Arabidopsis thaliana: one gene and its partners. The protein of the gene in region 3 interacts with the protein of the main gene of each other region in a pairwise test. Each region holds a gene or a part of one and is shown on either strand. Other genes may lie near its edges. The genes, in order: AT5G50915, COL2, BBX29 and COL4.

What was found.
Region 1: the proteins of BBX29 (region 3) and AT5G50915 interact in a two-hybrid assay, tested with the Arabidopsis thaliana proteins (one large-scale study listed by BioGRID).
Region 2: the proteins of BBX29 (region 3) and COL2 interact in a two-hybrid assay, tested with the Arabidopsis thaliana proteins (one large-scale study listed by BioGRID).
Region 4: the proteins of BBX29 (region 3) and COL4 interact in a two-hybrid assay, tested with the Arabidopsis thaliana proteins (one large-scale study listed by BioGRID).

The regions. Positions count from the first base shown.
Region 1 is NC_003076.8:20,709,070-20,715,186, reverse strand, and holds AT5G50915 (basic helix-loop-helix (bHLH) DNA-binding superfamily protein), read left to right. Parts: upstream 1-2,722; 5' UTR 2,723-2,934; coding exon 2,935-3,264; intron 3,265-3,359; coding exon 3,360-3,485; intron 3,486-3,594; coding exon 3,595-3,660; intron 3,661-3,769; coding exon 3,770-3,838; intron 3,839-3,929; coding exon 3,930-4,013; intron 4,014-4,119; coding exon 4,120-4,230; coding exon of another isoform or gene 4,231-4,251; exon of another isoform or gene 4,252-4,348; coding exon 4,349-4,423; 3' UTR 4,424-4,462; exon of another isoform or gene 4,463-4,596; 3' UTR 4,597-5,084; downstream 5,085-6,117. Other genes in the region: AT5G50910 (uncharacterized protein), read left to right, coding at 5,905-6,117.
Region 2 is NC_003074.8:486,223-492,341, forward strand, and holds COL2 (CONSTANS-like 2), read right to left. Parts: upstream 3,246-6,119; 5' UTR 3,053-3,245; coding exon of another isoform or gene 2,951-3,052; 5' UTR 2,867-2,950; coding exon of another isoform or gene 2,832-2,866; 5' UTR 2,734-2,831; coding exon of another isoform or gene 2,616-2,733; 5' UTR 2,403-2,615; coding exon 1,719-2,402; intron 1,618-1,718; exon of another isoform or gene 1,576-1,617; coding exon 1,216-1,575; 3' UTR 847-1,215; downstream 1-846. Other genes in the region: AT3G02390 (uncharacterized protein), read left to right, coding at 2,616-2,733, 2,832-2,866, 2,951-3,052; AT3G02400 (SMAD/FHA domain-containing protein), read left to right, coding at 3,608-5,365; ICME-LIKE2 (alpha/beta-Hydrolases superfamily protein), read right to left, coding at 5,896-6,057. UniProt on the Arabidopsis thaliana protein: Putative transcription factor. Does not affect flowering time.
Region 3 is NC_003076.8:22,113,480-22,118,497, forward strand, and holds BBX29 (B-box type zinc finger family protein), read right to left. Parts: upstream 2,061-5,018; 5' UTR 1,837-2,060; coding exon 1,342-1,836; intron 1,258-1,341; coding exon 1,105-1,257; 3' UTR 825-1,104; downstream 1-824. Other genes in the region: AT5G54480 (hypothetical protein (DUF630 and DUF632)), read left to right, coding at 4,525-5,018.
Region 4 is NC_003076.8:8,587,299-8,592,241, reverse strand, and holds COL4 (zinc finger CONSTANS-like protein), read right to left. Parts: upstream 2,786-4,943; coding exon 2,042-2,785; intron 1,638-2,041; coding exon 1,293-1,637; downstream 1-1,292. Other genes in the region: AT5G24940 (Protein phosphatase 2C family protein), read left to right, coding at 40-114, 212-835.

The DNA of each region.
Region 1 (6,117 bases), 1.4 Mb from region 3:
TACTGCTTTTCAAAACTACTATTAAGAGAAAAGCTTTTCAAAAAAATCACTTTATAGTCTGTATATAAGACTTTACAAACCTTGTAAAACCATATAAAAACTTATAATAATCTAATTACATTTTGACGTAATATCTTTGAGTTCCTTTAAATATAATAAGGAACACTGAAATTGATATAACATAGGATTAAGATAAAACGTTTCATGTTGAATTTGGTATTAGTGTAGAAGAAAGCGATGTCACATATTGGAACATAGCTAGTGCCAGTTTGCACAGGTACTATTAAATCTTCGGAGATTTTGCATAGATTCGTAAATTGAATAGATAAAAAACAAAAGGAGAGTCGTACCATCACAAAACTCATCAATTTTTAATTAGAATTTTTTTCTCTTTGTTACTATTTTATTGCATTGTAGGCGATGATATGTGAGTAAAAGGTTATCTCTCGTATCATGCGGATAGAGACTTCTATGAATATCTATTTCGTAGACGTAACCGTACGTTAATTAGTCTATTGCCAGGTTGATTTATTTGTATTCTTCTTAGTAGAGAAAATCAATACTTCACTAAACAAAATGGAAATAATATGGTAGAAGGACATAAAACTGTTTTGATAATAGAGAAGAAAACATATAGAGATGCAACATATTTGAATAACAAATATAATGAGATTAAGCTAAATAAACGAAGTGATTAATAGAGATCTATAACAGTTATGAGATCAACCTAACTTACTTCATATATCTTACAATCGTCACATAATTCACTAGACTTATCGGCCAGAAAACGCCGTAAAATGGAAGTTGTTTCTTTGCATTTGTAAGTAATGTTTTGGGATATAGGATGGTAGAAGAAAACTTTGAGTCAATTTCTTAGAGTGAAGTAATGTACCTAATCTATCTCGTAATTCAAGATTCATTTTCATATCATCCTTTCGTAATTAGTCTCGTGCACTTATTCTTTTCTTTAAATGTGATCTTGAATATTCAAAACACAGTACAAATAATAGATCAGCCGCTAATTAAATGCGTTAGATAAAGAATAAAGGTTTTGTGCAAGTACCCTGATTTGAAAAGAAGCAAAAGAGAGATATTGGTGAAGAAAATATGATGCCAATAAATGTTTATTCCTCATCCGGATGAAACGTGCATAATCTCTATCATCTTCGGGTTATGATAATTAATTACAAGCTCATGCGGACCTTTGACATGTAAATTATGTCCAAAAGAACAATCATAATGTTTTCTTGGTTCCTAATTAGCATGTTTTCTTTCTGCTCTAAACTTGATCTCAAAAAGAAAATCATAATAGAAAGTCCATAGATCGTATTCGTACGTATACAATTGATAATTAATTAATCGTAGATTCGCTTAATGTTTTTGTTAAGTACGTGTCATAATAATAATTTATAAATAGAAGAAAGGAATTATAATAGTCTAAATAATTAAGGACATGGATTGTGATAAATTTTGATGGTCAAGTACTCGTTTTTTCGATTATTACTATAAGAGTACCCGATTATATCAAAACAAAATGGAGATTTATGATTTTTTGTCTTCTATGCATACCCAACGGTATCATGGGATTGGACTTCACACCTTATTCACAATTTTTTTTCTTTTGTCCTTTTCTGAAAAGGAAATTTCCTATGTCGATCCAAAGTGGGAAATGGACAAAAGTTTTTATTTTCTCTAACAAAAATGGACAAAAGTTTGTAGTATTATGGTATCCACATAGAGATTATTATTGAGAAGATCACGCGGCATTACATATTTAGTTCTAAATGTACAGTATTTTGGATAGGGTAATATATCTCTCTACTATCTAGTCTTTAATTATATCTGACTCGTTAAACTGTGCCTATATATTGATCTATATATTAGCTGTGGCAAAGGTTCTGCAATCTGATAAAGTAAAATTGATTGATAAATGATAAATATTGCTCTTTTGGTGTACATTAACTTTTTTGATATGTGTATTATAGGTCCGACCCTCTTATAAAGTAAAACAAGCCATAGCTTTAGGGCATTTCTAAATATAGTTCGTTGTTAGGGCGACAATATTGAATGCTTACGTGAGTGTAGTTGATGGTCAATACAAATACATCAATTGGTTTTAGAGAACATTTTCCTCGAGTTCGACTGCCCACGTTGGTCGTTCTTTCGTTCATTTAATGGGTTTAGTTGATTACTTCTTTTTATAGTACATTTATTGTTTTCACGTTATGCGCTATTATATTCTTATAAAAAAAGTCTTAATTAAATGATATATTGATCAGTATTTGTCTTGTTTAGTTTTACAACATGGTTGTATTACAAATTATGTAGTATTTATAATCTTATATTTCAAAACATAATTTATTCTCTAAATAACATAAAACTATGGAGAATACAAATTACAACAAAATTTAAAATTATAAGTTCTTACATAAAGTAATTTGAAACAAATTTTCTAAAATATCATGATACCCATAGAGTAATAAAACTAAACAAAATAAATAGACAAATATTCCATGAGTTTGCATTTGAAAAAAAAAAAAAAAGAGAACATACGTATCTAAGAATGATGAAAGATCATTAGTCACCTAATTTTTGAAATTCAACATTATTTACTTAAATTTTCATTTTTACTCTTCCATGGTTACTCAATGCAATTACTTAAATATACAATCTCGATATTATATATAAACATATCATCTAACATAAATTACCCGCCGAAATATGGTAGTAATTTCTTCTCAAATAAAAAGGTATCTTCAATATACAAGTGGTCCCTAAAATACTCTTTCTTCTGTTTCTCCTTGTTTCTTTGAATAGTGAATACAAAAGCAATTCCTTATATAAACCACTTCAAGTCCTTAATCTTCTCTCACAAAGAAAAAACACTATCTCTATCGACAAAGATAAGAGAACTCAGAAGCTTCTACTCTTAAAATGGCAACTTTCTCTTATTTCCAAAACTACCCTCATTCCCTTCTTGATCCTCTTCTCTTCCCTACACCTCACTCCTCCATTAATCTCACTAGTTTCATCGATCAAAACCATCTCTATCCACTACCAAACATTTCCACAGTTGAAGACATTTCCTTTCTTGAATATAATGTTGACAAAACTGAAAACTCTGGTTCAGAGAAACTGGCCAACACAACCAAAACAGCAACCACCGGTTCTTCTTCCTGCGACCAGCTCAGCCACGGACCATCAGCCATCACCAACACCGGAAAAACCCGTGGGAGGAAGGCCAGAAACAGTAATAACTCCAAGGTATGTTAAACCAACTTGTAATGTATCATCTATCATTTATGTGATGGGGTTGGGATAGTCAAAAACATAAATGTTGGTGTGGTTTGGTGAATTAGGAAGGAGTAGAGGGAAGAAAAAGCAAAAAACAGAAGAGAGGAAGCAAAGAAGAGCCTCCAACAGATTACATTCACGTTCGAGCTAGAAGAGGCCAAGCTACTGATAGCCACAGCCTTGCTGAGAGGGTATTTTAGTCATTTCTCTTAACATTTTAATTTTTCTTCATTAATCATGTTTTCATAAAATACATTTTGATTAATATTTGATTAAACTTATATATATATATATGTAAAGGTGAGAAGGGAAAAGATAAGTGAGCGGATGAGGACTCTGCAAAACCTTGTTCCGGGCTGTGATAAGGTCAGCTAGAGTAGAGACAATTTTATTTAGGAGAATTGATAATGGTTTAATTTTATAATGTTTCTAGAAAATGTTATTAATTGATTAAATGTGACTTGAAAACGAATAGGTAACAGGGAAGGCCCTCATGTTGGATGAGATTATAAATTATGTCCAGACCTTGCAGACTCAAGTTGAGGTGCATTTTCTTAATTATTTTGTTTTTTCTTGTAACATTTTATGTTAAAACTAATGTTTCTAATTCATAACTTTTTTTTCTGTTTCATTAGTTTCTCTCAATGAAGCTAACTTCTATAAGTCCGGTGGTCTATGACTTTGGCTCCGACCTTGATGGCCTCATACTTCAATCTGAGGTATTTCATTTACACAATGTCTCTTAATCCGGTTACCGATAAAACCAAGTCATGTATCCCGAAAAGCCGGTTATGGATCTTAAGTAGATATTTTCTTGATGGACAGATGGGTTCTCCAGAAGTAGGAACGTCTTTTACCAATGCAATGCCAACAACTACTCCTATCTTTCCTTCACTATTGGATAATTCTGTAGTTCCCACACATGCACAAGTTCAGGTTTTTCATTTTTTTCTATAAGTGATTATTTCAGATAATAATTATAATAAGGAGAATGAAGATAGATAAGAATCAATTATTGGAAGATTAATAGATAGTGATGTGTTGCTTAATTTAGGAAGAGGGAGAAGAAAGAGAGAACTTTGTAGACAGAAGTGGGTTCAACAACAACAACTTCTGTTCTTTCCCTTGATAAAATTACATGTCGACACAAACACAAAAGCCTGCTTTCGTGAGTTTCTTCTGGTCTTGTCTCTTCAACTACCTAATTATTATCATTACAATTATTTTTAACATTTCTCATATAGAAATTGTTAAAAATCTTGATGTGGGTTCGTAATTATTGCTATCGTTTATTGGATGTAGGTTGATTTAATCTCCTCCCATTTGCACGGAGGGAATAAAATCTACGTAAACCAGGTTTTGTAAAAGTGGATGTACTTATTTGTTCCGTTTATATAGTTTGAAGAAATAAAGTATTTTAGAGACTTAAAAAGCTCATTTTCTCTATTTGTCCCGAGAGTTTCAACATAATCATTACATAAAATCAATGGATAAATTCATACTAAAAGAGAATGGTATATGAGGCAGAGGCAAATTCGATGGAGGAAAGAAAGACATATAAACTAAGAAGACCTATCAGCTTAATCATTGTTTTTTTTAATATAATTGAATTTTGATGTATCCACTCATTAATTTTATAAGTTCTTGTATTTTCACCACTTCTGTCTTTCTGATTTCTTGCACCAAAGTTTCCTTTTTCCTCCAATCTTTTTAAATGTAAACTGTTATCCACACACTCATGTTATATTTCCTATATATATAAAAATGTTCGAGGGATAACTACTTATGCATGTATATAAATCTAAATGATTCGTTTCCTGTCAATTTAGTTGGCTACAAAATTATGTCAGAAGAAAAGATTAGATTTCCCTTCCTGAGAACACTTTAATGTACCTGTTGAATAGTTTGGTCATGCTTTTCTGCTCTCACTTGTCACACATTGATAACTCCCATTCCTCTGTATCTGTCCTTTCACAATACATATGTTATAAGTTTTATTTTAGTTTAGAGTATGTCTAATATATATATACCAAAATTCTTGAAAGAGATATTTGATACTGTTGTATTTGTAAATATGATTTGTTGGTTGTCTAACATTTTCATGAGGTGGTAATTAACGATTCCTTGAGTTATTCAATCCTAAATTGCAGGATTTATTTGAATACACCTAAATAAATTATATGCAAGAGCCTTATGTATATTATCGTTATTCAGTTACATACATATTAATAACCTCTTTTATTAACGAACCTAGAATAGAGATTTTTTTGTATGATTTTCATTTCTTGATGTATATGTCAGGATGTATATGATTTGTGAGATTACTCTTCACAATTCAACAATTTGAGATTTTAGTTAAATAAGTAAAATTTAATTGATATCATCTCTTCTAAGATTTGTTATTGGACTATGGTTCAAAATTTTCACTTTTTCCCTTTTTTATTATTATAAATATGATATGTTGCTAGATGAATTGGGTCATCATTTTCTTGCAATTGTTTCGTCATGAATACGATTTTTTTTTTTTTTTTTAATCGAAAATGCATATGAATTTGGTCCCAAGTTATTATACGGCAAATTGATCAATCATAAAATACAATAACAAAGGAAATGCTAAGTTTCTCGTGGCACATAATTGTATCTGCTAACGGTTTCATCCTGAATCAATGGACAACACATTTCGTAAATCTTATGCACATCATTTCACCTCATATGTTTATTTCAAAGTATACCTCTTATAACTTTAACTGTGCGTTTCGATTCTTCGCATCATCAAACCTATCAAAATCAAACCCTAAATATCTGATGACACGTTTTATGCGA
Region 2 (6,119 bases), on a different chromosome or scaffold from region 3:
ATATACTGTATTAACTCTCAACTAGGTCTTATATTAGTTTTTATTACTTCTTATATGTCTGACGGTTTCTATGATTCCACTTAGACTATCACTCACTTTTATATAAATCTTATGATGTTATAGGAAAATTGTATACGATGCAGAATTTCGTAATTTGTCCCACTATTGCTACATTTCATTTCAAGTTACAAATTTAGGTTGTGATGTAAGCTCTTTATTTTGGTTAAGTAATCACTGTTTTCAGATCTCTCATAACTTAGGAAATAAATACAGTACTTTTGCTACACATATAGGTTGTGATGTATAATTGAGAAGAAAAAAAAAATAGGTTGTGATGTATAATAATGTTGAGCTCTGTGAACATTTCCAGATGGGAAACAGTAAGGCTTGGTTAAATGTCGTGCTTTCTTTTTCGTTGCTCTATCATCCTTTACTGTCAGCACATACCATAAAAAGTGAGAAAGTATAGTCCTTTATTCCAAAAGGTAAAGAGAAAGAATTATCCTTCTTTACTTGAATTTGGCATAGGCATCAACATCCTATGCTAGTTGCTGGTGTATATTAGGGTTCTCAGTATCTTCACTATCTTACTCCCACTTGGCTGAATACGTTAACTTATGATTCCCGTTAACCGAAAATGACAATTAATGCTGATTTGCATGTTGGTTTTTGGAGTTTCTTAAGTTTGTGTGGACAAAGTTGTTCTATGTTATCAGTTTAATTGTTTAAATTACAAATCATGTTATTCTGAATAATCCTTCCTCAGGGAATGAGTTGGCATATGTGGAATTGACCTGCGATTTACGTGTTCTTGTGATCTGGAAAGTATCAAGAAACAGAAGATTCTACAGCCAGAAAATAATCGAAAGGTATTTACTTTGAACCTACTAGGCGTTGTCTTTCTTGTGAAGTGACAACTTGAAATCCGCTTTTAGTTTTCTACTTACAGCTACTCATAGTGATGCATATCTCTTTCATGTGGCACCAATTCAATTAGATATGATAGGCACTGTTCCATATGATAAGATTTCACCAATTCAATTATGTAGCGAGATGTTGCTTAAACAACTGCAGCTATAGGAACATATCTGATTAAACTCGTACTAGTTTGACAAAAGTCACAAAACTAAGGACCCATATGCAGTAATAACTTGTAGAAATCCAAACTAGAAGTAATTTACAGCATGCAATCTAGTCTATCTTCGCCATAGGAGTTTAGAAGGAAGGGACAATTCCATATCCAGTCTCAGACATTAGCGATGTTGAGAAGATTTCTTCAGCCTCAGCTTCAGTTTCTATCCTCTTTGCGAATCTGCCCTTGATCCGTGGTCTTATCTCTGCATATGCCTTTCTTGAAGCATATCTTATTGTCTTGTCAAATTTCCTTGTCTTCTTCTTCTCTCTGTATCTCAGGACCCTAGCCTCCCTCTCCATTGGAGTAAGCTGTTGCACCACCTGAGTAGGAGGACCAGATAGTTGGTCTATCGTCTCTTTAGTAGTTCTTGGGTGTTGGACTGTTATGTCACTTGCAGTTGACTCTGGCACAACACTGATGTCCATTGATGAAACGGATGCCTAATGACAGAGACAAAGACAGTTTCAATCTTCCGAGGTTATAGGAGCAAAGAATCAATGTATAGCGAAGCATACTTGTGATGACACAGCATGCATACTGATTATTGTGAACTAAAGAGCTGGCAAGTGTATAAAAAGCTTACGCTATGGTTTAGGTCCTTTAAGGAGTTGTTGTTGTAGTGAGCTCCTGAGGAGAATCCATAGTTGATACCCAACTGAAAGTTTTGTTGGCTTTGTTGCAGGTGACTTGTTGATTCTTCAACTTGAAGCGGCACAACTCCATCTCCTCCAAAGCTCCTCTGGTAGTGAGTGTACTGATTATCTTCGAATTGGTTGTCCATGCTGGAGCTGTAATCCACAAGATCAAGGTACTCAACACCAAACAAGAACCCATTATTCTGATTACCGATGTTTTTCCCTGGATTAGGGAGTAACCACGAAGCAACCTCTCGATCATCCTCATCGTTATCAGCATCAGTCTCACTTGGGGCCATGGAGCTGCAAGAGTTTGCAGATAATGGAAGAATCGGAACTCGCTGATGACGTCTAGCTAGTGGGTTTGCGGAATGAATCTCTGCATCACAAGCTGTACAAAGAGACGCAGCGTCTGCTTTACACAAAAACGCAGCTGGGGCAGACTCACATGACTGACAGACACGAACACGTTCATGGCGAGAAGCAACACGGTTGGCTGCGTGAACTCGAGCATCACAGGTGGTGCACAAGTAGGCAGAGTCGGCTTCACAGTAGACAGTGCAGGCGGCTGAACGACAAGTGTCACATGCTCGTGCCCAAGTACCACTCTCATTACTCTCTTCTTTCAACATTTTTATAACTAAAGAAGAAGGTATGTGTTTTTTAAGCAATGATTGTTGGCAAAAGGAGAGATTGTAATTAGAAAGGAGGGAAGGCTAATGAGACTATATCTAGGTGGTGAGAGGGGAAAGATAGAATCTTTGGAGATATACACGTGGCGCAGAGTTAGTGGTTGTTAAAAGTAGTTGGATCATCTTGTGGCTGTCTGAGTTTTGAACAAGGTCATGAATCATCAAAAAAGTTTTTTTCTCATAACCTTCACAAAGGAGAACAAATCTAGACCAAGTAAATCTTCTGTAAGTGAAAACATCTCTTCCTATTGTAGCTTTCTCTGTAGGACCCGTGAGCTGACGTGGATAAGATTCTCAGAGATTGCTATTTACTTTTACTGTTTTGGTTTTTTTTTGAATCTTTTGGTATTTTAGTTTTTTGCTTTTAAGCAAAGATGGAAACTTTTCTTATTGGAACATACATGGTAAGTAATCAGGTAGTGACCAAAGATTATACAAAGTAATACATAAAAGTGAAACTCATTTTGGTTTTAAATGTTGTTTTGCAGGTGGATGAGAAGAAAAAGCTGACATGGCAAAGTGGTGAATCTAGAGTGACCAATGAGAATGTGACAAATAAGCCTTTAGTGAAGAGATTAGGATGCTCATGAGCCACAAGTTATAATGTTATATATTAGCTTATATCAACATCACTTCCAGTTACCAAGAAATAAATCTTTTTTTTTTTGTGAATTGTGGAGTAATGTTGATAAGTTGAGTTTTTCAGTTGTTCACTGAAACAATATTGCCAAAATTGTAATTTAATTTTTTGGGAAATTATTAGATCATGAAATGAATATTTACTCCCTTTGTTTTGGTTTTTTACTTATATCAACAAATATTATATATATAATATATCTAAATCAACTATAACTCATTTCTTGTTTCAATTTGATAGTCAATCATGCATAAATCATCATTTTACAACAACAACAACAACAACAAAAAAAAAACTTGGATGGGCTGTACTCTGTAGTAACAAGAAGATATTTTGGTAACTTATGGACTGGACTGTATATTCATAGTTTGTACAATGCAAAAGCCCATTGGGCTTGAAAGGGTTTCTTTGTTTCAGGACTGTTCCGTTCGATTTTGAGTTTGACATAAATCCGAAATTTCAAAATTCCATTATTTTGAATCAAAGCAAAGCTTCCCCGAGACGCACGATGGTTCCGCCATTGCTGAAGCTCGACTTCACCCAGGGTCCAAGAGCTGGCGATTCTCTAGGGTTTAAACCCGGATCCACTATCCGAATTGGTCGAATCGTCCGTGGTAATGAAATCGCCATCAAAGACGCCGGAATCTCCACCAAGCACCTCCGGATCGTTTCCGATTCCGAGAACTGGATAATCCACGATCTTGGTTCTTCCAACGGCACCATATTGAACTCTGACACTATCGACTCAGATACGCCCGTCAATCTTAGCCATGGAGACGAAATTAAGCTTGGTGAGTACACTTCCATTTTGGTGAACTTTGGGAGTGATGTTGTTCAGGCGCCGCAGGAGCATAAGCTTCCGCCCAGGCCAAGGAGGAACAACAAGCGGCTTGCTGCTTCGGATCCGGATCCGGATCCTATTGAGTCGGTTCAGGAGAAACCAAAGCGCACGCGTGGATCGTCGAAGCAAGAGGAAAATGAACTGCCCAAGAGTACTAGGGCTTCGAGGAAAAAGAATCTGGACGATATCGCCGATAAAGAAGAGGAATTGGATGTGGAAATTGAGAAGGTGGTCAAAGCTAGGGTTGGGAGGCCTCGGAAGAACGCAGGCAGTGCAATTGCGAAGGAAGAAGAAGTTGTGGAGGAGAAAAAAAGGGTTGGGAGGCCCCGGAAGAACGCAAGTAGTGCAATTACGGAGGAAGAAGAAGTTGTGGAGGAGAAAAAAGGCAACTCTAGGGCTCGGAGAGGTAAGAACAGTGAGATTGTCCAGAAATCAATCAAATTGGAAGTTGAGGATACTCCCAAGGCAGTGGAAATCTCAGAGGTGAAAAGCAGGAAGAGAGTGACAAGGAGCAAGCAGATAGAAAATGAATGTTTTGGATTGGAGGTTAAAGATGAGAAGAGAACTACAAGGTCTACCAGAAGCAAGACGACTGAAATTGGTGGAGAGTCTTTTCTGGAGTTGGAGATGGTCCTGAACCAAGCCCGGAAAAGCCGTGCAAAGAGGAAGAAAATGGATGAGGAGCCATCCAAGGAGACTAGAAATGATGATGCCGGAGAAGAGGTTTTGAAGAACTGTCATGTTGAAGAAGATAAGGAAAATGAAGCTCAGGAAGGTTGCAGTGGAAGAAGTGATGACATATGTGATCAAGAAGATGAGAAGGAATGCGATGGATCTAAGAGGGTAGAGCAGGTGGAGATTGAGTTAAGGAAGAAAAGCACAGTAGAAGGCCTGAAATGCACTGATAAAGAAGATGGAGAAACAGAGAACTCACAAGATATTGAAAGAGAAAGAGAAAATGAAAATGAAAAAGAAGCTCAAGAAGGTTGCAGTGAAAGAAGTGATAAAGAATATGAGAGGGTTGGTGGTGGGGCTAAGAGGGTAGAGCAGGTGGAGATTGAGTTAAGGAAGAAAAGCACCGTAGGAGAAGATGACCTGAACTGTACTGTTAGAGAAGATGGAGAGACAGAAAACTTACAAGAAATTGAAGAAGAGTGTCACGACGAGGAAAGTGACTGCAAGGTCGAGGAGGCTGGATTTGCGACATTAGATGAGGAAAAGGTTGGGCAGGGATGGAACAATAAGAAAGTAGAGAGGGTAGAAGTATATTTAGAAAAAATGAAACTAAGAGAATGGTTTGATGCCATAGAGGTTCAACTGCCAAAACAGACAATTGAAGAAACAGAGAAGATGATTGAGCCCATGAGAAGTAAGAGTATGAGAGTTCACAAGCATATTGCAGAGCAAAAGGAAAAGGGCGACTAAGTACTAAGTTGATTTGATCCCATTTTGCTAGCTTCATGATATGTTCTAACTTATACCTGGGAATACTTTGATCTCATTGTTAAGTTGCTACCGGCTTAGTGTGATTTCTTCAGGTATGGTAGTAATCTTGTTAGAAAAAATTGAATGACAAAAGCTTCCTAGAAAGCATCTGTATCTATTACTCGCTTTGTGCACAATGTAGATCATGGTTTTGTGTTTATGACTTTGTTGGAACCACTAGTTTTTTGGAGTTTCTCTATTATTATGTCACTGCAACTACCAATATATCTTCAGTTTTACGCTTTTGGATCAGTGATCGATGAAATTCATTCATTTTGTGGGGCAACTCATGTGGCTTGCTTAAGCTCTATGCATATCAACATGTGAGAGTTGCTACAAATCGAAATATATACAAATTGATGAAGAAGATGAAAACACAGAACAGCAAACAACAAACAACAAACAACAATAACAAATAAATTGACAATCAAGAAGCTACAAGAACCGTATCGAAGCTTTAGTTTTCCTGTTCAAAAAGGGCTGACCCTGCCAGCCAGTTTCAGCAAGAACTCTGGAACAAGCCGTTTCCTCGGTGGCGCAACAGCATCGTTTCTCAATGCGTCACTGTCATCGGCGTGTATCATAGAGACTATATGATCAAATAGCTCATCTTTACCGCCTCTCAGAGGATCCTTGCAATGCAGTTTGTAATGTGTTTAGACAACATTGAGCTATGTATGTAGAAAATGATCTT
Region 3 (5,018 bases):
AAAGAGACTCGTGGATTAATGCTTGGGGTTGACTTTTTGTATTTCTGACTTCGAAAGGAAGTTTAACTCAAAGGTGATGTCATCGTATCCGCAAGTATTTATCCAAGTGTAAACCTTAAATTAAAATTATGATCTCTAATTATTATATTCATATTTTAGTATTTTGAAGACGGCTTAAATGATCGGTCTTTGCAAAGAGATGCAATGAGAACCACATGTTTTCACTACTTTCATTCAATTTAAATAAATAAAATATCTGGTAGACATTCGCCGTCCAATTCTCTAACTACCATGAATTGAATTACTGTATACTGTATTTATCATATACGATCAAGAAACCAAAAACTTGGATCTTCTCATTTCTCACAAAACAAATAGATTCAAAATTAGAAATAAAACCAATTTATTTAGTTACATATAAATCATGAGAGCATCATTTTTTATTTTTTTGGAGCTTCGAACACGGTTTAGATACAAAAGACACGATGGGTTCAAAGCGTTTGACAAATAAATTTTTTTTAAAAAAACTTTAAAGGAGGACCCCATGGTACTAAATATCTTCTTTTTTCTAAGTCTTGACAACTTTTTTGTTTGATTCTTTTTAGTGGTCGTAGTTACAATTTACAAAGCTAACGGACATTCATACGTTATGTACTCTTCAGTTGTAACATCACAATGACACAGACACTTCTAGTTCTGGGAAGGCAAATAAAATTGACATCATAATAAATTTTGGTTTTGGCTGGTAATCCTTCTCACGTTATAAATTTATAATAATATCTCTTGTTTCACTAATTAATTTTCTTAATCATTTTCGTTAAAAAATAAATAAATAGAAAACAGCTTCATTTTCTTAATCATTTTCTGAACAACTTTGCTTCATTTTATTTTTTATGTTATATGATTTTATACTAGACATATGAACATATATATTCTAGGTAACACAGAAAAAAAAACACAAAAAAAAATCATTATATTGAAATGTTTTTAAACTAACTCAACTCACTAAAAGTATTGTTGTTAGTAAATGAACGATGAGGATTAATCTAATCAACCAAACAAAAGAATCATCAACGGCTACAATCTCTACTTTCCTTGGCGATTTCAATAAAACGAAGACGACGATGATGTATCACATCCCTCTGCTTTTCTCCTCCCTCCGTGTAATTTCACGATTGAGCTATTCATCACAACAGTTGATCTTGACAAACCTTCGTCTCTCGATAATCTTTTCAATGGTCTAGATTGGTTCTCCTCCTGCATTTCAAAAAGAATTGTTTCAGATTTCTTAATCATTTCCTAATAATAAAAGAAGATAAAGAAAAAGATTCATATTCATACATCGGAGAGGTTAAGATCCAAATCAAGTCTCGTCCTTTTCACCACCTGATCTCCTTCACCACTACTAACCGAAGACGACGAACTCACCACCGGAAGTTCTTGCTCCACCGCAGCCGGAACAACCTGATTCTCCACTTCTTCTTCTTCTTCATCCTCATCGCTTTCCTCATCATAAGACTCAGCTCCGTCGTTACAACCAATGATCTCTTCTTCTTGGTTAAGATTCTGATCCCTCCCGGCGAGGGAGCTGTTGTTATTCTTCTTACGAGCTAAACAAGACTCACAGATAGAAACAGTTGGGCCAAGATTCAGCCCAGAAGCTTTCCAAGGCGTGTGTGACTGACACGCGCTACATAGAAGACAACGCATGTGTTTCGCCACCAGAAAATTAGCTCCGTGAACTTTACCGTCACAATCCCAACATAAACTCGCTTGATCTGACTCACAATACATTCTCGCTACACCACAACATAACTCGCACTTCTTCTTCCCCATCTCTAGATATTATCTCGCACAACCACAACCACAAGCTCTCTCTCTATGTCTATCTCTGTCTCTAGATGTTTGTGTGTTATAAATATTCTTGGTAAGGTCTTTTGCTTCTCTCTCTTCTCTCGTTTCTTCTGCGGACACGAATAAGAGACAGCGTAATAGAGAATTGTAAAATGAGAATTTCGTGGCGACTTTTATGTGATTTAATTCTTTTCGAGGATATTGTCGTCTTTTTGATATTAACGAAACGATTTTTCACGTAATTTTTTAATGAAATGCAAAGAAGCTTCCTAATTTTAAATTAGAATAAGATTAAAGGATTCGTTCAAACTTTAATTTTTATGGTGGATAATTTGTGGATAATTTTGTATTAGTAGTTCTAAATCTGTGTTTGAAATTGATTAAGGTTTCCGCGGCTGAGTATTATTCTCGAATTCTTAAATTTAGGAGAGATGATAATAATAATAAAAATTAAAGGAAATGTTGTTATTTACTTGGTCCTGAAACCATGTACTGGGACAAGGCTCTCCTATGGGCGAAGTCTTACGTGTCGAGATATTATTCGTTTTATGTTTCATCAGATATTTTTATGCGGTTAGATTTTTAGTTAATGACGTGGCGAGATATTAGCCTCGTATAGAGGAGAGGGAAGATTCTGAGTTATCCTACGTGGACGAATCAGGTTCTGTAATAGACTTAGAACCACGTGATCCGCACCTGGGATTTGTCTGGTCCTCAATACACGTCTAATGGGTCCACTCTTTTTTCTTTCATTTTTTACTTTTTTCAGTATTCCTCTCTCGTTCCGGTCCAAGCGTTTTGTTTTCGAAAATGAAAAGTGAATTAAATATCATTTATATCGTTGGTATTACGGTAGGATAATAATGATGATCGGATTTTTAATATCGCATTTTGGGTTCGGAAATTTTGGTGTCCATGAATCAACATGGTTACTAGGAGAAGAACCTAATTTTATGATTTTATCAACCACTTTTAGCGTTCCATATTTTACATAATTCGAGTTAAATGTCTTTTTCTCTAAATAAAAATAAATAAATAAATCCAACCACTAATTTTACATTTTTACTTCACATCATTGGCAATTCGATATATTACTTGTTATTTGCTAATGGTAATTAAAAAGAATATAGAATATATATTTGAAAAATTATTAAACCTGGATTAAAAAAATGAAAGGTATTACGAATTTTTATCTAAAAAACAGGATAGATAGATAGCTAAGAAGCTTGTAGTTAGACAAATATTTTTTGTCATTTCAAATGTTTACAGTTGTGAGTTTTTAAAAGAAAATCACAACGATTTTTGTATGATAGAGTTTGATCTGTGGTTTTGATCCATAGAACAAACTAATTCATCTATGATCAAAGATGAATTAATTTGATTATTTGTATTCATTTGATCAAAGGAATTAATTTGTATCACGAAATCGAGATTAAGACTAGCAAAGATGGATTGAAAGTCATTTTAGGATAACAAATAATACGTAAAATATATATAAGAACAAAAAAAATGGTAAAGTTGGGCCTACGTAACATGCTTGAGAAATTTTTACGTGGCGAAGATTAGTGGTGTAAAGGGTGAAGTGTGAATTGTGAAGAATCAAAGGAACACGAGATGTCTTCATTTGAGAGCCACATGCATTAAAAAAGCGCTGATGAGTGGAGGTGTTTTGAGTTTTATGGTTTTTTGTTTTTTTACTTTTAAATGTTTGTGGATGACAACTTTAGAACAACTTAGAAGAAGCCTCGAATCAATACACATCTATCTTACGAATTACTCCTTATTTTTTGTTAGTTCTTTTCCATTTATGTTTTCTTTTGCAAGTTTCTTTAAAGATTTATTAAAAAGAGAAGTGGATTACAAATTTACAATAGAAATTGTTAAATTTGTTCAGTATGGGTGATCAACCCAATTATAATAATTTTAAATTTTTTTGTTGATAAAAATACATATTATTTACATTTTCAACATAAATTCTATCAAATTATATGATTTATATATATGTACACTAAGATTTTATTCATTCGGACCATTCCACGTTTGATTCTTTTTATCAGGGATACCGATGACTCTATGAGAGGTGCATCATTTTATTTGTCAAACTGGTCAACCAAATTCCATAATGAAAATTCAAGATCTCGATACTACAAGATACAAGTATCAAAACATCAACTTTGTACTGTAAGAAAATAACTTCATATATATTTGTTTTTTGGTAAGGAATTGCGAAAATATATTTGTAGTGTCAATGAAATTTAATTTACACACTCCATCATTAGCTGATCTTAATATCAATTATATAACGTGCCCCCATACATTAATTACATGTAACTTATTGTTTTTAATCTTCTTATTTACTGTGAGATTTTTTCCATTTAGCTACAAATTTCCTTTTCATCTAATTCCTTTTCTTAAAATTATATACTAACCTTAACCAAAAAAAAGGAAATCAAACACGGTTTAACTTCAGCGTCGCTCTACAAAATAAATCGAATTTGTTTCTAATTAGGGTTCATCATCAAGTCGTACTTCTGCCAAACAAGGTTTTTACTTTTTAGTGATGTCGTCAAAAGGTACAACAACTCAATCAATCCACGAAATATCAATTGTTAAAGCGAGGAAATCAAATTAGGGTTTAACCGATTTCGAGAGATCATTCAAGAGGGTTTAATGGGTATCGTTGCTTCCAAGGGAGATAGTAATACTCCATTGTTGAATCTATGTAAGGAGAGGAAGGAATTGATCAAAGCAGCTAGAGATGCTCGTTATCACTTAGCGAGATCTCATCTTCTTTACTTTAAATCTCTTTTAGATTTCAGCAAAGCTCTTAAACAGTTTCTTCATAAGGATTTGGTTGTGATTCCGTATTCCGATGATGATTCGTCTAGTAGTGATATAATTTGTTCTGGATCAGATTCAGACTCGGATACGGATTCTGATTCAGATTCTGATTCTGATTGTATAGTCTGTGATCAACCTCAAACAGCTCCGTTGAGCAATAATGACGATCAGAGTCAGCGAAAACCCGTGGTTGGTGATGGAACTTGCGGTGCAAGTAACAATGGTCAAGAGGGTATGGAGAAGTCAAGAGAAGGTTTAGGGTTTGAGGGGACACAGTTCGTTAGTGATCCAAGTGAAGACGAGATGAAAAGTTCGCAACACCC
Region 4 (4,943 bases), about 14 Mb from region 3:
TCTACTTGTGTTCACTTAAGGTCATGTCTTCAACTTCAGGAAGAGAAGATTGATGATTCTCTTGAGTTTCTGATTCTTGCCAGCGATGGACTATGGGATGTTTTCTCCAATGAGGTTTGTAAAATTAAGTTCTTCTTCGAAAAACTACTTTCATGTTCCGATAAGTATCACATCAAACTCAATGATTGAGATCTCTCTGATGGTCTTTCAGGAAGCAGTTGCAGTAGTAAAAGAAGTTGAAGATCCGGAAGAGTCCACCAAGAAACTTGTGGGAGAAGCAATTAAAAGAGGAAGTGCAGACAATATTACATGTGTAGTTGTACGTTTCTTGGAGAGCAAGTCAGCTAACAACAACGGTTCCAGCTCATCCGAGGAAGCAAATCAAGTGCCAACCGCTGTTAGAAATGACTCAGACCACAAGATCTCAGCCAAAGAAACCAATCAAGACCATACCACAGTAAACAAGGACTTGGACCGCAACACTGACAGTCAAAGCCTGAACCAAAAGCCGATTGCAGCTAGAAGTGCCGATAACTCGAACCAAAAACCAATCGCGACTACAGCAACAGGACACAGCGTTTCTTCAGAACAGAGTGGTTTAACCGGGGAAAAGAGTCAAATGCCAATCAAAATTCGCAGCGACTCAGAGCCTAAGAGTTCAGCCAAGGTACCTAATCAAACGCAAAGCACAGTACACAACGACTTGGACAGTAGCACTGCGAAGAAGCCGGCCGCAACAGAACAGAGCGGATCAACGGGTGAAAGGAATCGAAAACCAATCAAAGTTCATAGTGATTCCGCCGCAAGAAAGACAACTCCCTCTATCTTTAACTAAAACGTCCACTACCTTCTTTTGATAAATGAATGTATCATCTTCATTTAACTTTGAACTATTTAGTGTCCAAAGATTTTGCCTCGAAACTGATTTATCTCGTTCATGTAAGTTTCTTCTCTTTGTCACCCTTTTTTCTGAGGTCTTTAACTTCAACAATGTAATTTCTTTTTGCAGTGTACCAAATTTTGTAAACTTGTTGATTCTAAATAGTTTGAGTACATAACATAAACAAGAACATATTCAAAATCACGATATATACAAAACAAGTTACTTATAAACAGTTAAACACCACCCACTCACTTCTCTTCCTCTTCATCGCCCACAACAACTAAAAATACTCATCAACAAAAAACAAACAAACTCGTTTAAATTAAACGTTCGTTAAAAACCTTATTACTAAAACAAACACCAAACCACCCACCATCTTCCATTTTAGAGTCTCTCCCTCTCTCAATATCTAAAATGTAGGTACAAGTCCGAACCCACTAAAGATACCACCATGACCAACCACATCATTGCTCTCATTTGTATCCGTCCGCTTCGCAAACCGTCCCTTGATTCTCGGTCTCATTTCCGCATACGCTTTCCTTGAAGCATACCTTATAGTCTTCTCAAACTTCCTGTTCTTCCTCTTCTCTCTGTACCTCATTACCCTCGCTTCTCTCTCAGCTGAAGTCAGCGGAACAGCCCGCTGTGTCCCCGGATCAGCTCCACTGGTTGCAGGACCACCGTAAGGATACGATACATCAGCCACCGAACCACCATCTGGCACCACTCCCACTTCCATCGACGATGATGACACCTAAATTACACCAACCATTGGATCAAGCCATTATAATAAGTACAATCAAACTGACAAATACTATAGGTTATAACTTATAAGTGAATATGATTAGATCTACACTAGATTAAACAAAACAAATGAAAAAGAAGACACCAAAATTCTTTGATTAATACATAATTAGATACTTAAATTAAGGATTATCATAATATTTCTTCTAATTACAGATTAATTTACACATGTTGCTCGCATAACCCTAAATTTTAGTCAGCCAATCATTACTTCCCAATAAATTAATAATTTTAAGTATCATCAAAAGTCTAAACCCTAAAGATCTAAACTTTTTCGTTAAAAATTGATAAATAATTGTTAATCAAACATAATCAATTAAATTAATCACTGTGATTAAAGAACATTAAGCTTACGCTGTGACTGATGCAATTGTAACCACCACCATAAGTAAAGCCTTTAGATCCTCCGGTAAAATCCATTTCAAAGCAATTCTCGTTCACCGTCGGAATCCTAACCGTCCGATTCTCCACCGGAACAACACCATCAGTACCGGAGCTATTCTGCTCTAACGATTCCACCTTCGGATCAACATTTCCATAATCCAGATCCAGATACGGATCCGGATCCGAGAACAAATACTGTTGACCAGTGTTCATCTCCGGACTATCTCCCGGAACTTCCTCAGCTGAAGTAACAGCAACGATCCCCGCCGTCGCCGTCGTTGTAGTCTTTGGATTGGGAAGTAACAGCCACGAAGCAGCTTCTTCCTCCTCTTCTTCACGGCTTCCGTTACCATCTATATCGGAGAAGTAACAGTCGTCAAGGAAATTAACGGCGGTGTGTTTAACGGAACCGTCACTAGAGACGGAATCGTAAAACGGAGTAACGGGAACGCGTTCGTGACGGCGAGCTAACGGATTAGCCGAGTGGATATCACGGTCGCACGTGACGCATAACGCGGCCGCGTCTGCTTTGCACGTGACGTGTGCCGGTGCTTGCTCGCACACTTCACACATCCACACGCGCGCGTGTCGTGACGCGAGTTTGTTCGCCGCGTGGACTTTTGAATCGCAGCTTAAGCATAGAAACGCTGCGTCTGGTCGGCAGTATAACGCCGCCGTCGCTGATTTGCACGAATCGCAGAGCTTTGACGCCATTTTTCTCTCTCTAAACCTCTTCTTTTTCTTCTCTCTATGTTTCAGTGTCTCTCTCTCTCTCTTTCTTTTGTGGTTGGTGTTACTATTGGCTTCACATGAGCGTGTCAATGAGTCTATCCATGTGGGGTCCATGGGTATCCATCTAGATCGAATGAAAAGTTGACACGTGGTAAAATCTTAGCCAAACAACGTAATTTTATTTCTGATGAAATTACTTGGCATTATAGTTCTGTGTGTTCTTTATTTCTTTATATAATTGTAATCGTATGATGATGATACTTGTAATCATAATTCTGGATCGTCGACATTTGGCAACAGGTGTTTTATTTTAGCAAATGATGCGTAGCAAATTTGTCTACGAACTTTTTTATATGATTTATAGGTTATGAATGGAGGCAGCGGACAAAGCGGTCTAATTTGTCTGCGGTTTACTCCATCTCATTTTTGGGGCGGACTATAAATCGCTGTAAACCAAGTTTATTTGTATGTAAAAACGGTCTGCAGATGGTCCGCAGCGGTTTTCTTCTATTTTTTTTGGTCCGGACCACTGCGGACTATTTTTGATGAATGATAAAACAAAAAACGATCTGATCCATTGACGGTTTTGTTCGCCCCAACCGTCGTAACCATTCAAATCCATAAGCTGACACAGAGAGTGGTTCTATTGCAAAATAAAATGAAAAAAGTGGTGAAGAAGTATGGGTAGATGAGTTTTAGGACCACCACCATGAGGAGCAAACTTAAATGGAAACGATACTGTGACTAGCGAGGATAAAGTAAATGGCCGGTGGGTAGGTCGGTCACTAGTGGGCTGAATATGGGCCTTATGTGGACCATTGGTTTCTAGTTATTACTGATATATTCTGCATGTATGTGTTTTGTTGTTCACTAAAATGCTTATTTCAGCCCAATAACTTTATTTCTCAATTTGCTAAAAGTCACAACACAAACTCACTGGTTTCACATAAACTTATTTCTTTTTTTATCAACAAAGAAATCAACGCCCTCTAGATAGTCATCAAAAATACCTCTTCAAAATTTCATGGTTAACTGCACCGTAACTATTCCACACATAACTCCAGGATAAGACCTTATAAATTTTTACTATCCTTATTACAATATAAATAAAGACTTATTTCAAAATTAGTAACTCGCATATTATATCTATTGATCAGATTTTGACATGTATAAAATATATATATATGTAAAACCAATATATGCTTCTTTTTTTACTAATAATTTGTTGTAATTTTAGTATTTTAGATTATTTATTTATTTTTTTTTTATTTATTTTGAATTATCTAAGATTCATTTATCATGCTTCTCATTTCTCTATTATTCTGATTTAATTGTGTCAAATCAATTTTTTTGGAAATTTTATTAGTTAAGCATAAATCAGAACTAGACAGAACACAACAGGCAATAAAAGAATTGAGAGTACAAGATGAAGATTTTGAAAATCGCGGTGGACTGATTTCTGCAAAAAGAAAAAAGAAAAAAAGAGTATTTATGAGAAAGTGAAGAGAATCGTCATTTATTTTAGGCTTTGATAATGAAATAAAATGAAAAATTTCACTTTCTTATGAAAACTCTTTTTCTTTTCTCCATAAATCAAACTTCTACCACGATTTTAAACATTACATCTTGTACTCTTGGTTTTCTCAAAATAAATTTTATGTTGTGTTGTGTCTGACCAACTAATAAAATTTAAAACTTCAAAAGTAAATTTGATTTGACATTATTAAATTAAAAAAAAATAGAAATATATAAGCATGATAATAATTGAAACTTAAATAATTAAAATGAAAATAAAAATTAGGAGTGATTATCAAAACTCTTAATTAGAAAAAGAAAAAAAAACAATATTGAAAGTGTCAGAATCATACATCATGAAAAATGTGTAACCGTATTGATTTGTGAAAGTTTGATTCAAATGAGCGTTGCATTAATTATGAGTTATGATGTAGGCAGAGTCGCATCGCCGCGTCAGGTAGTTGCAGCAAATAGAGCAAATTCATACAACTGTTCCAAAGTCAAACATATTGAAACTCTTTGAAGCCAATCTGTGAACGGACACATGTCCATATTATGACATCATCTTTCTCAAATTACTTATTTTTTCCCAACCCATAAAAGCATGCCGGCGGCAAAAACCATG